Caenorhabditis elegans: one gene and its partner. The protein of the gene in region 1 purifies or fractionates together with the protein of each later gene. This does not show direct contact. Each region holds a gene or a part of one and is shown in the gene's direction. Other genes may lie near its edges.

Region 1 (5,532 bases):
GTTTTACTTCCAAATCATCTCACTTGATATGTGCTCATTTTACGGTTTTCTCCCGGGCTTTAGTTTTAATTGTCAATTTTTCCCGTTTGACTATTAAATTCATATATCTTTTCCTAATTGTTTTTTTACAATGTTGTTCCATCTTGCCTTTTCCACTCCTACTTCTTTCATTTCCCTCTGACCCAACACTTCCCTTAATTTGTATTATTCATTATCTCCCATTCCCCCCAAGACGGTGCTTCAGTTTTTCCATGTACTATACCTAACTTATTGGTCAAGTTTTTCGACTTTATACTACAGGTTCCAATTTTTGTGCATTCTTCTTTTACCCACTTTTTTGTAATTCTCACATCCAAATTCGAGGTTTTCACCGCCGCTTTCAACTCATTTTCAGCCTTTGTTTTGTTCAATCGTATTTCATACATTTCACTTTGACTCATTGAATTTCGAATGAAAATTTAAAAGAAAATATAATCAAATCAATTTTTCGGTATTTATGATTTCAAACAGGTACACAATTTCATTTTAAAAATAGGCCGTAGATCATTTTTTGAACCAGTTATTTGGCCCGCCCCTTTTATGGAAGGAATATTATTGGATATTTTTTATTTCAAAAAAGAAACATATTTTCAACATTAAAATGCCAGGTTTGTCAGGAATTCTTTGGGAAGGAAGTAAGTCGACTCAATTTTTTCTCAATGAGAAAATAGGTTGTAACCCGTGTTTATTATAGTTATTGTAGATATTGCAATTTTTTAACTGGAGATATTGTTTAGAAATTAATCTGTTTTGTTTCAAAAAAAAAAGATCTAGAAGTGTTGCCAATTTATGAATCTGTAAAAATCATTTTATTTCAAGATTTTCAGTTTGCACTTGCCGATTCGATTAGATTAGTTGTTCCTATAGCATATATTCTTTGTTTCAATCATTTCATATCACTGATATCTTATCTTTCATTCTTTTTTATTTCTTCTATGTCTTCTGTGATGACGTACTCGATTACTTGTGCTATATGGGTTAGTCGATTTGTTCTTTGTCTCATCATTTTTTTTATTATCTTTTTCTGTTCGCTCCTTTTGAATTTTATTTGAATGAATTCATTTCGTTGTTTGATTTTCAAAGAATTCATATAAAATTCGCTTCAACTGTTCTTTAGATGCTTAATTATGCGAAGATTTTAAATTTGAAATAATACTTTTAAATTACTACGGTACCCGGTCTCGACACGACGAATTACAAAAATATTTTATTTCAAAAAGGTCTACCCCTTTAAAAGAGTACTGTGATTCCGCCCACTTGTTTCTGCGAAATTTTAATTGATTTTCGGATAAAAAACTATTTATTTATAGCTACTTTTTGGAATACTTGAATTGTGTCTATAAATAAATTACAGTCGATTTTTTGAACTTAAAAAGGCTTCAATTAAACACGAAATCAATCAAAATTGATTTGCAAATGAAAACGGATTCAAAGATCTATCATTTTTCTTTCATTAATTTCATCATTATTATCATCATCTTATTCTTAACGACACAATGTATTTTATGTCCTTTGAAAATATGGCCAGTCTGATCTTATTTCATCACCTCATAATTATTTTCATTTTATTTGATTGATAAAATTTTCTTTTCTTTGGATATTTTAATTTTAAGACAACATTTTGAATCTAAAATTAAGTTCAACATTTCCTCTATTTATATTTTCTAAAAATTTTCGATACAAGTTTTGGTAATATGTCAAAATTAGAAAATGTGAACTTTTATGAGAAATTTCCAGCAATTCTAGAGACTTCAATAAATGCCAAAAATAGATCCAAAAATTCTACTATGATATTCGGTCAATTAAGTTTCTAAATAGAAATACTGAAAGACTTATTGATGAAATTTGGCAATAAGCGATAGAAACATATTTCGTAGATCTTTAACTGGATAGTTTACTAATAATATTATAAAAAGTATTTTACAGTGGAAAAGTAACATTCAACTTTGGATAAACGATGACTATTAAAGACAAAAGAGAATTCAATGAAACAGATGAAATTGTGATCAGCAAGGAAAAGGTGGGTTACTGTAAACAACTCTATTCAAAAGAAATTTAAACTTTTGTATGAACAGTGCTAAGCAGTCTTAAAAAAATTTGACAGACTGAATAATTTTTTAATAACTATTTTGTTACCGTTATCATTATATTGCCACACCACTACAGTAATCTTACTGTACTCCTCGATATCGATGAATTAGGTTTGAGATGATAGCGCTTCATATAAATAGTAATGATATTAAATTGGAAAAAACCATAATCTTAAATCTAAATACATTGCTGTTCAAACATAGATTTCAAGAGCGGGATGTTTTCAGCTCGACAGTTTTGTTCTCGAGTGTCTTGCCAAAGCGGGATGTACCGGAGATCATGCTCAACAACTGGCTGAGACTTTATTATGCTCTGATTACAGGTATTTCACTCTTTTCTTTAGATAAATATTATTGTTTACTACTTTAAGAGGTCACTATTCTCATGGAATCAATCGACTTCACATCTATGTTCATGACTTAATGATGAAATCCACTGCTGTCACAGGTTGTTAAAAAATCATTTTTGAAGAATTTTAATTCTAAAACAAATATTTAGGAACACCACAAGTTCTGAAATCAAAGGGAAGTACTGCATGGGTTGATGGAAATAATCTTCTTGGTCCAGTTGTTGGCAACTTTTGTATGCAATTGGCTGTTGAAAAGGTTTAAAATTTTGTAAAACAAGTATACAATATCCCAAATGTTTAGGCCAAAGAGTTTGGAATCGGATGGGTAGTATGCCGTAATTCAAATCATTTTGGTATTGCTGGATGGTATGCTGACTTTGCTTGTCGGAATGGTTTAGTGGTATGCGAATAATTCTTTATTTGCTTTAGTGAAGACGTGAAAAATTTGAAACGCTGTTACACATTTTATAAATTTCGGTATCTCGTCTCGAAGAGAAGTTAGAAAAATTTAGACTCTAAACTTTAGAGATTTCGAAAATTTTCTGCAGCCTCAGATCTAACTTTTTCTGTTGTGACAGACCGTATTATTGCTCCTTTAATTGAACTTTTATGCATGTAATAACCCGACATATGTTTGGTCGTCTAAAGTCACAATGAGAAATCACCTTATCATTTTAATATATGGTCTCTTTTATACGTTCAAAACTTATTTAGGTTTCCTGCTTAAATTAATGCAATTTCAGGGAATGGCTTTTACCAATACATCTCCATGTGTATTTCCGACTGGATCACGTGAGAAGTCTCTTGGATCAAATCCGATTTGTATGGCTGCACCTGGAATGGAAGGAGATTCGTTCTTTTTGGATATGGCTTCGACTACTGTAGCTTACGGAAAAGTAAGTTCCGTTTTGAATTTCAGATTAAAAATCATTCAAATTTCCAGATTGAAGTTGTTGATCGTAAAGGAGAAACGTATATTCCTGGAAGCTGGGGTGCTGATAAAAATGGAGATGAGACACATAATCCAAAGGAAGTTCTTGATGGAGGTGGTCTTCAACCATTGGGAGGATCTGAGATCACTGGAGGATATAAAGGTATACAAAAAAGGGAATCATGTGAACACACAAAAAAATTCTTATAGGAACTGGACTTTGTATGATGGTTGAAGTTCTTTGTGGTATTATGGGTGGTTCAGCATTCGGAAAAAACATTCGTCAATGGCAGACAACTAGTAAAACAGCGGACTTGGTGAGTTATACTAACCCTCAAAATCCGCTGCTCAAAGAGGCAAATTCGATGAAACCGGGCGCGGATTTGGTGAGTGCCATTGAACTGGTATGTATGTCAATTGGTCGTTTACATTCTTTTGCATGAATGCATGAAGTTTCTTTTTTTGTTTTGGAAAAATTCAAATTTTCGCGTAAGATTGAGTGTATTGTCTCTGTAAACTGGTTCTTCGGCGGAACTGGAATATTTACATTAAAAAAAAACCTCGAAAAATAATATGTTTTTATCTACATATGTGGCAAATGTATTTTTCAAAAAAAAATTTCAACGATCCCAAAACAGGTAACACCTAAAGTATTACTTAGCTAAAAATAAAGATTGAGACACTTCCGTACCCTTTAAAGGCACATCTCCATACTCTAAAATTATTTTGATCGTATTGAGACCCAGCGCTGCAGGATTGAATTGAAAGTTGCATTTCTTAAATTGAGTATAATACAAAATTTCATTGAATTCAAGATTAAATCGATGCAGCTGAGATTTCGAAAATTTATTTTTTTAATTCAAATCGTTTGAAACTGATTCATAAAAATTAGGAAACTTCCATAAAACTGGTTTTAAAAAATGTTGTCCGAAAAAATTGCACCACTTGATTATCTTCCCGCATGTTACAAAATCACTCTCCAAATGGAAATAACCGAGCACAAATATCTAGATTCATTTCCTTTTCAACCTATTTTACAATTCAGGGACAATGTTTTGTTGCCATCGACCCAGAGTGCTTTGCTCCAGGATTTTCCAATCGTCTTCAAGAATTCTGTGATGAAACTCGCAACCTTAACCCAATAAACCCATCAAGACCACCACAAGTACCTGGAGATCCAGAGAGAGCTCACATGAATATGTGTGATGATTTGGGAGGAATTGTTTATAAAAAGAAACAACTTGATCATTTGGTAAACATTTTTATCGATAGATTTCATAATTGTATCTCTTTTCAGAAAAATCTTGCGGATCGCCTTGGCGTCATAATGAGACTCGTTGACGAAAAGCCTCAATAATTCATCTAAATAATTGTGTCCTATCGTTCTTTAATTGTTCATTAATTGATTCTTTAAAATTCATATATTTTCAAAAAGTTTCCAACAGAAAAAAAACAAATTCAACAGAAATTAACAATTCAAAAATCCCAGTCAACTTTGGACAAAGATCACACAAGAATTCAGTTTTCAGCGCTGACAGCAGGAGGTTGACTAGCGAAGAGATAGCGATGAGCTGCAAATTGGAAATTATATTGAAACTTCAGGGCCTTCATAAAACCTACGTTTACAATCCAATAATTCGTGTTTACTCTGATATCTACAACATTTTTTGCATTTGCTATTAGCACATCCTTGTCCAGCAGGTTGTCCACAACGGGCACATGGAGGGAACTTGATCTTCTTTGCTTCAAGGATCCGGGCTCCTGATAGTTGCCGACGTTCTCGTTTACGAGCTTGTCTAAAATGTATTAATGTTTCTAAGAACTTGGTAAAAAGTTATATAATAAGTTGCAAGCTAAAAAAAACTATAGTTCCTTTTTGAAATGTGGTCTTACTTCATAGATACGCCCATTTCCTTTGCAGTCTGTGCAAGCTTTTCCTTCTGTTTCTCTCGGAAAGTCTTTTCTCCTTCTCCGACAATCGATTCTTTTGCAACCTGTAAAATTGTGTTTAATCTGACATAATTATTTGTCTATAAAGTACCTCTTTCAATCTGAAGTATGGTTTTGAAATCCAATGGGGTTGCTTTGAAACTTCTATTGCATTCATTAGTATTCCGTTTCT
Region 2 (4,337 bases), on another chromosome or scaffold:
AGCTGGAAATGTAAGTCTTCATGCATTAAAATTCCACAAAAATTTAAAATTCAGTAACCTCCTGTTCTCTGCGTTCACTGGAATTTCGGTTCTCGGGATTATCACATTTTTTGTGATGCCTTCCAAAGATGTCGAGAACTGTATCGAGAGTAGTTCTGAGAAAAAGGAAACTTTTTTGGAGGCTCTTAGTAAGTTGCACTACTAGATTATTGTAGATCTACAGTAATCCTTTCCAGAACTCACCTGCTCGACACTGGTTTCCCCAACAATGCTCCAGCTCTTCCCGCTCTTTGTGCTCAGCGGCTTCAACACCTCATTCTGGCTCTCAGTTTTCCCGACTGCGATGAGCTTTACCATGCAGAACTCAAAGTTGATCTACCTAGCAGCAGTCTATAGTCTAGGAGTTGGTTCCGGGGAGGTTATAAGTGAGTTTTGGACAATTTTGGGGATTGTTCAGTGAAATTTTTTTTGATTTTACTAAATTTCAATTTCAGTTGGACTAGCGATCTCATTCCTCAGCAAGCGTATCAAAGATTTCGGGCAAAAGCCAACTATGACGATTGGCGCAATCTTCATCACGATGTATTGTGCCATGATCCATATGTCTACTCCGTACGATGCTCCGATTAGGCCAACTAGCAAGGAGCCACTTTTTTTTGGTCATTCGTAAGTTTAACAGGTTTTTCTTAGTAAGTAGCAAATTTAATTTCAGCTACCTTTTGGCCCTAATCATAGGCTTATTTTGTGGAATCGGAGATTGCTGTGTAAATAGTGTAAGATCAGTGATTTGTGCGTTGCTGATGCCAAAAAGAAGACCACAAGCGTTTTCAGTGTCGAAGATTTATCATGTAAGTTAACTGGCTTGAAAAACTGGGGGCGTTAAAACACATACTTGCCTGACCTTAGGGCGACCGAAAGGCCGGCGTGAGGCAGGCAGGTTCTAGGCAGTCGTCAGGCCCTGAAACCGCGCAGGCTTACCATGGAAGACCTACGCATAACAATTTTCCAACTTATGTACATTAACGTTCTACCGGAGCCACCTAGAAACCATATTCCAGGCTTTTGGATCTACGATTCTATTCTTCATGAGCCCCATCACACCACTCTACGTCTACACAATCGGCCTGCCAATTCTCGCAATCATCGCCACAATTTTGTTCTTTTCCATTTCTAAAAGAACACAAATTATGGAACGGAAAATGACGGAGGCTAGCAAAAATGCTGCAGAAATTGGAAAGAAACTTAATTTTTAATTTTTTTTAAAACAATTTTGAAAATGTCATTTTGTGTCGGGTAAACCTTGAAATTTTTTTTGAGATGATGAAAGCTTTAAATGTTATCACACACGTTATCACCTATTTTTTTGCATTTTTGCGGTAGTTCCGTAGATTTTCGAATTTTTCACTTAATACTTCCAAACTTAAATTAATTTAATTTGTTCAATTTTTTTTCGAAATTTTAGTTTTTGAAACTTCGAATTAATCTCCAATGCATTTTTCTTGCAGATCTGTCCTAGGAGATCCGTTTCCCACTCTTCCGAATTAAAATATTATATTTTGTTTGATTCAAAAAAAGAATGCTGGTTCTGATCTTTCGATCATTTAACTGATAAGCGGTTTTCTTGCGAAATTCGAAGTTTAATTTCCGAGTTATCAGTAGAGTGTGTGCACGTTGCTTTTTAATGGGATGTAAGTTGTATTGGTCTTTTTGGAAAAAAAATACAAGAGAAATGCGAAAATCTACATCCTACAAACACTAGGAACAACGGAGGCTAAAAGGTAGGCAGCTAGTCGTGATAAGGTGCCTGCCTACCCTGGTGGCCTCTCGCCGATTTATTCCACCTTATCACACTTATGTTGAAATTTTAATCTTTTTTCTGATCACCACACCTCCTCACCACCCCTCATTTTATTACTTTACATATATAAGGTAATTCCCTTGGACACATTTCGTGACTCAGTTTCAGTTGTGAAATTGCCGAATTCCAAAAAAAAAAATGACATTTTTATCAATATTTTTAATTTCTGGTCTATTTCTGTGTGGCTCCGCTCAAAAGTTAATGAGCTTGAGCTCTTTCAAAGGCACAAACGTGAAAAATAATTTCAAAGCTCATGCACCGTACAATATTTATGTGTCCGCCGACTCGGACGCTGAATTTATTCTGCAGCAGATTTTCGTGATTACCGGAAATGAGCAGAACGTAACGTAAGTTTGAGCGTACCGACCAATAAACGAGACGCAGGTGGCGGGGCCATGACCTCTAATTGGTCAACTCTAATCGCGCGCCAGTTTTGATCTACAAGTCATGTTAGCTCAAAATCGTAACTTTTTTTGGGAAACGCTCATGTGATGTTTTCGAAAAAATCGAATAATAGTTATTAACTTAAATAAAAATGCTTTTCAGACTCCTCGATCTCAAAAAAAATCTTCAAGCTTCCGGAGAAATCACTGCATTCCCGGTTCAAAAATCTGCCTATATTACGACAACACTGAGTGATAATGAATTGAAAACACTTAATGGAGTGATTTATCTCAGCTCCAGGAAACAGCGAGCAGACAGTGAGTTGTATTTTCTAAATTGCCACTTTAGATCCTTTTTCCAGCCAATTTTCACGTTTACGGTGTTTCTAAATCTCCAAACATCATCCTTAGAGGAATGGGAAACTTAAACACCACAATTTTGTTCCTTAACACCATTATGGGAACGAATCCGTCTTCAATCATCAGTCAATGGAGCCAAGACTCTACCGCCCACGCATATCTGTACACTGATTTTCCACTGGATACTGCAGAAGAAACTAATACTCAAATTTTCTCGAACCCGATGCATACTGACAAAGCCGATTTGTATTTTGCAAATGTGGAAAAATTCTCGTTGAGCCTAGTAGCATTCTATCTGAAAACTTATCGAGGTGTCAATTTCAGCATTGAACCAGGATACTGTAAGTGGAATTGAGATTAAGGTCGCAACTTAAAAAAATGAATTCATTGAAGACAGTATTGATGGAAAAAGAACATCAGCCTTCACCACTACTGGATTCTATATGAAGCCCCTGGCCAGAAATGCTAGTACCATAACTGTTAATATCAAGCGAGATGTTAGATATTCTGGAGCTTCTGGTGCAAATGTAAGTTTCATTTTGATACCAAATTGTGTGCTCCAACATCGACAACTAACTCCCTACATTTAAAAATTCAGCTTCTCGGACATGTCCCAAAGCGGGGAAAAGTCACAGTAGGCTTTTATAACGGAGATTCAAAATATGAAGAATCATTCCCTCCAAGTTACTATTTCTCTCCATGGAGCATCCCATATATTGACTTTGAAACTTTCAAAGTTTCATCCACATCCTCAAACTCAACTGCTGAATACTACTTTGTGCAATATTTTGTCGCTCGTGAGTTGTTGTTTTCTAGATTTTTTGTAGTTTGAGGTATTCGAAATTTCAGAAGGTACTCTGTTCGGTAGTCCAACTTCAGGGCCCATTCAGACGGCAACTCAATCCTCCGGAGTCGTCCAATTATTCGTGTCAATGGCTATTTCAACAATGTATTGGCTGTAGCTTTTTGATGTTGACATTTATGGCCCAATTATAATATTATTGATGAAAAACGATGAAAAGTATTTCAGCTCACAATTGCACTTTAAAATGAAACATTTGTAAAATTTTGAAATTTTGCCGATTTGCCGGAAATTTTCAATTCCGGCAATTTGCCGAGTTGCCGACTTGCCGGAAAAAATCGTTTGCCGTCCACCCCTGATCGCGTACTAAACAGACCAAAAAAGTTCAACAAACCAAAAAAAATGTGTGAAAAATTGCACAATTCTCTGAAAAACGTCTGTCATCCTTTCTCCGCCTTCCGTTTGAACTTGTTCAGCCGATTATGCAAAACTTTTTAAACTTGCCTATTAATTCAGCCTAGAACTTTCCAACTTTCCGTCACCGCAGTTTCCACTCTCCGCAAATTTTCGGTTCAAAGTTTTTGAAACTGATATTTTTGTAAAAAAAAATGAATCAACGGCGATTCGAACTATTATGCGCAGCATTGCTCGGCTTCGGTCAGCTGTGCATAATGACTGGATTCGATTCAGAGTCGTTTATTCTAGAGTCTGTAATTCATTCGATTCATGAGAGAGAACCCGCAAAAATCAGCATCTATGCTGGGTATTATGGGTGAGTGGAAAGTTCAACTGACCAATCATTGAACATTTTAAATGTTATAACTTTGGTTTATATGTACCAACAATTAAACACAAAATATTTTCAGCCAAGCCGTGATCTATGCCTTCTACATGATAGCTTGTCTATTCTCGCCCTCCATAATAGCAGTGAGCA

The links.
Region 2: the proteins of F36A2.3 (region 1) and dod-20 fractionate together in Caenorhabditis elegans (co-fractionation; one large-scale study listed by BioGRID). This does not show direct contact.

Annotation. Positions count from the first base shown.
Region 1 is NC_003279.8:8,796,820-8,802,351, forward strand, and holds F36A2.3 (Malate dehydrogenase), read left to right. Parts: upstream 1-1,965; 5' UTR 1,966-1,996; coding exon 1,997-2,059; intron 2,060-2,357; coding exon 2,358-2,452; intron 2,453-2,500; coding exon 2,501-2,577; intron 2,578-2,628; coding exon 2,629-2,735; intron 2,736-2,780; coding exon 2,781-2,879; intron 2,880-3,222; coding exon 3,223-3,375; intron 3,376-3,422; coding exon 3,423-3,573; intron 3,574-3,620; coding exon 3,621-3,727; intron 3,728-4,455; coding exon 4,456-4,662; intron 4,663-4,707; coding exon 4,708-4,767; 3' UTR 4,768-4,829; downstream 4,830-5,532. Other genes in the region: F36A2.2 (tRNA-dihydrouridine(16/17) synthase [NAD(P)(+)]), read right to left, coding at 4,929-4,981, 5,031-5,206, 5,304-5,404, 5,452-5,530.
Region 2 is NC_003283.11:420,502-424,838, forward strand, and holds dod-20 (Downstream Of DAF-16 (regulated by DAF-16)), read left to right. Parts: upstream 1-1,931; 5' UTR 1,932-1,996; coding exon 1,997-2,205; intron 2,206-2,404; coding exon 2,405-2,559; intron 2,560-2,603; coding exon 2,604-2,942; intron 2,943-2,994; coding exon 2,995-3,128; intron 3,129-3,199; coding exon 3,200-3,398; intron 3,399-3,450; coding exon 3,451-3,563; 3' UTR 3,564-3,676; downstream 3,677-4,337. Other genes in the region: Y39D8A.1 (UNC93-like protein MFSD11), read left to right, coding at 1-10, 55-188, 237-425, 495-666, 713-848, 1,059-1,253; B0554.5 (UNC93-like protein MFSD11), read left to right, coding at 4,012-4,175, 4,270-4,337.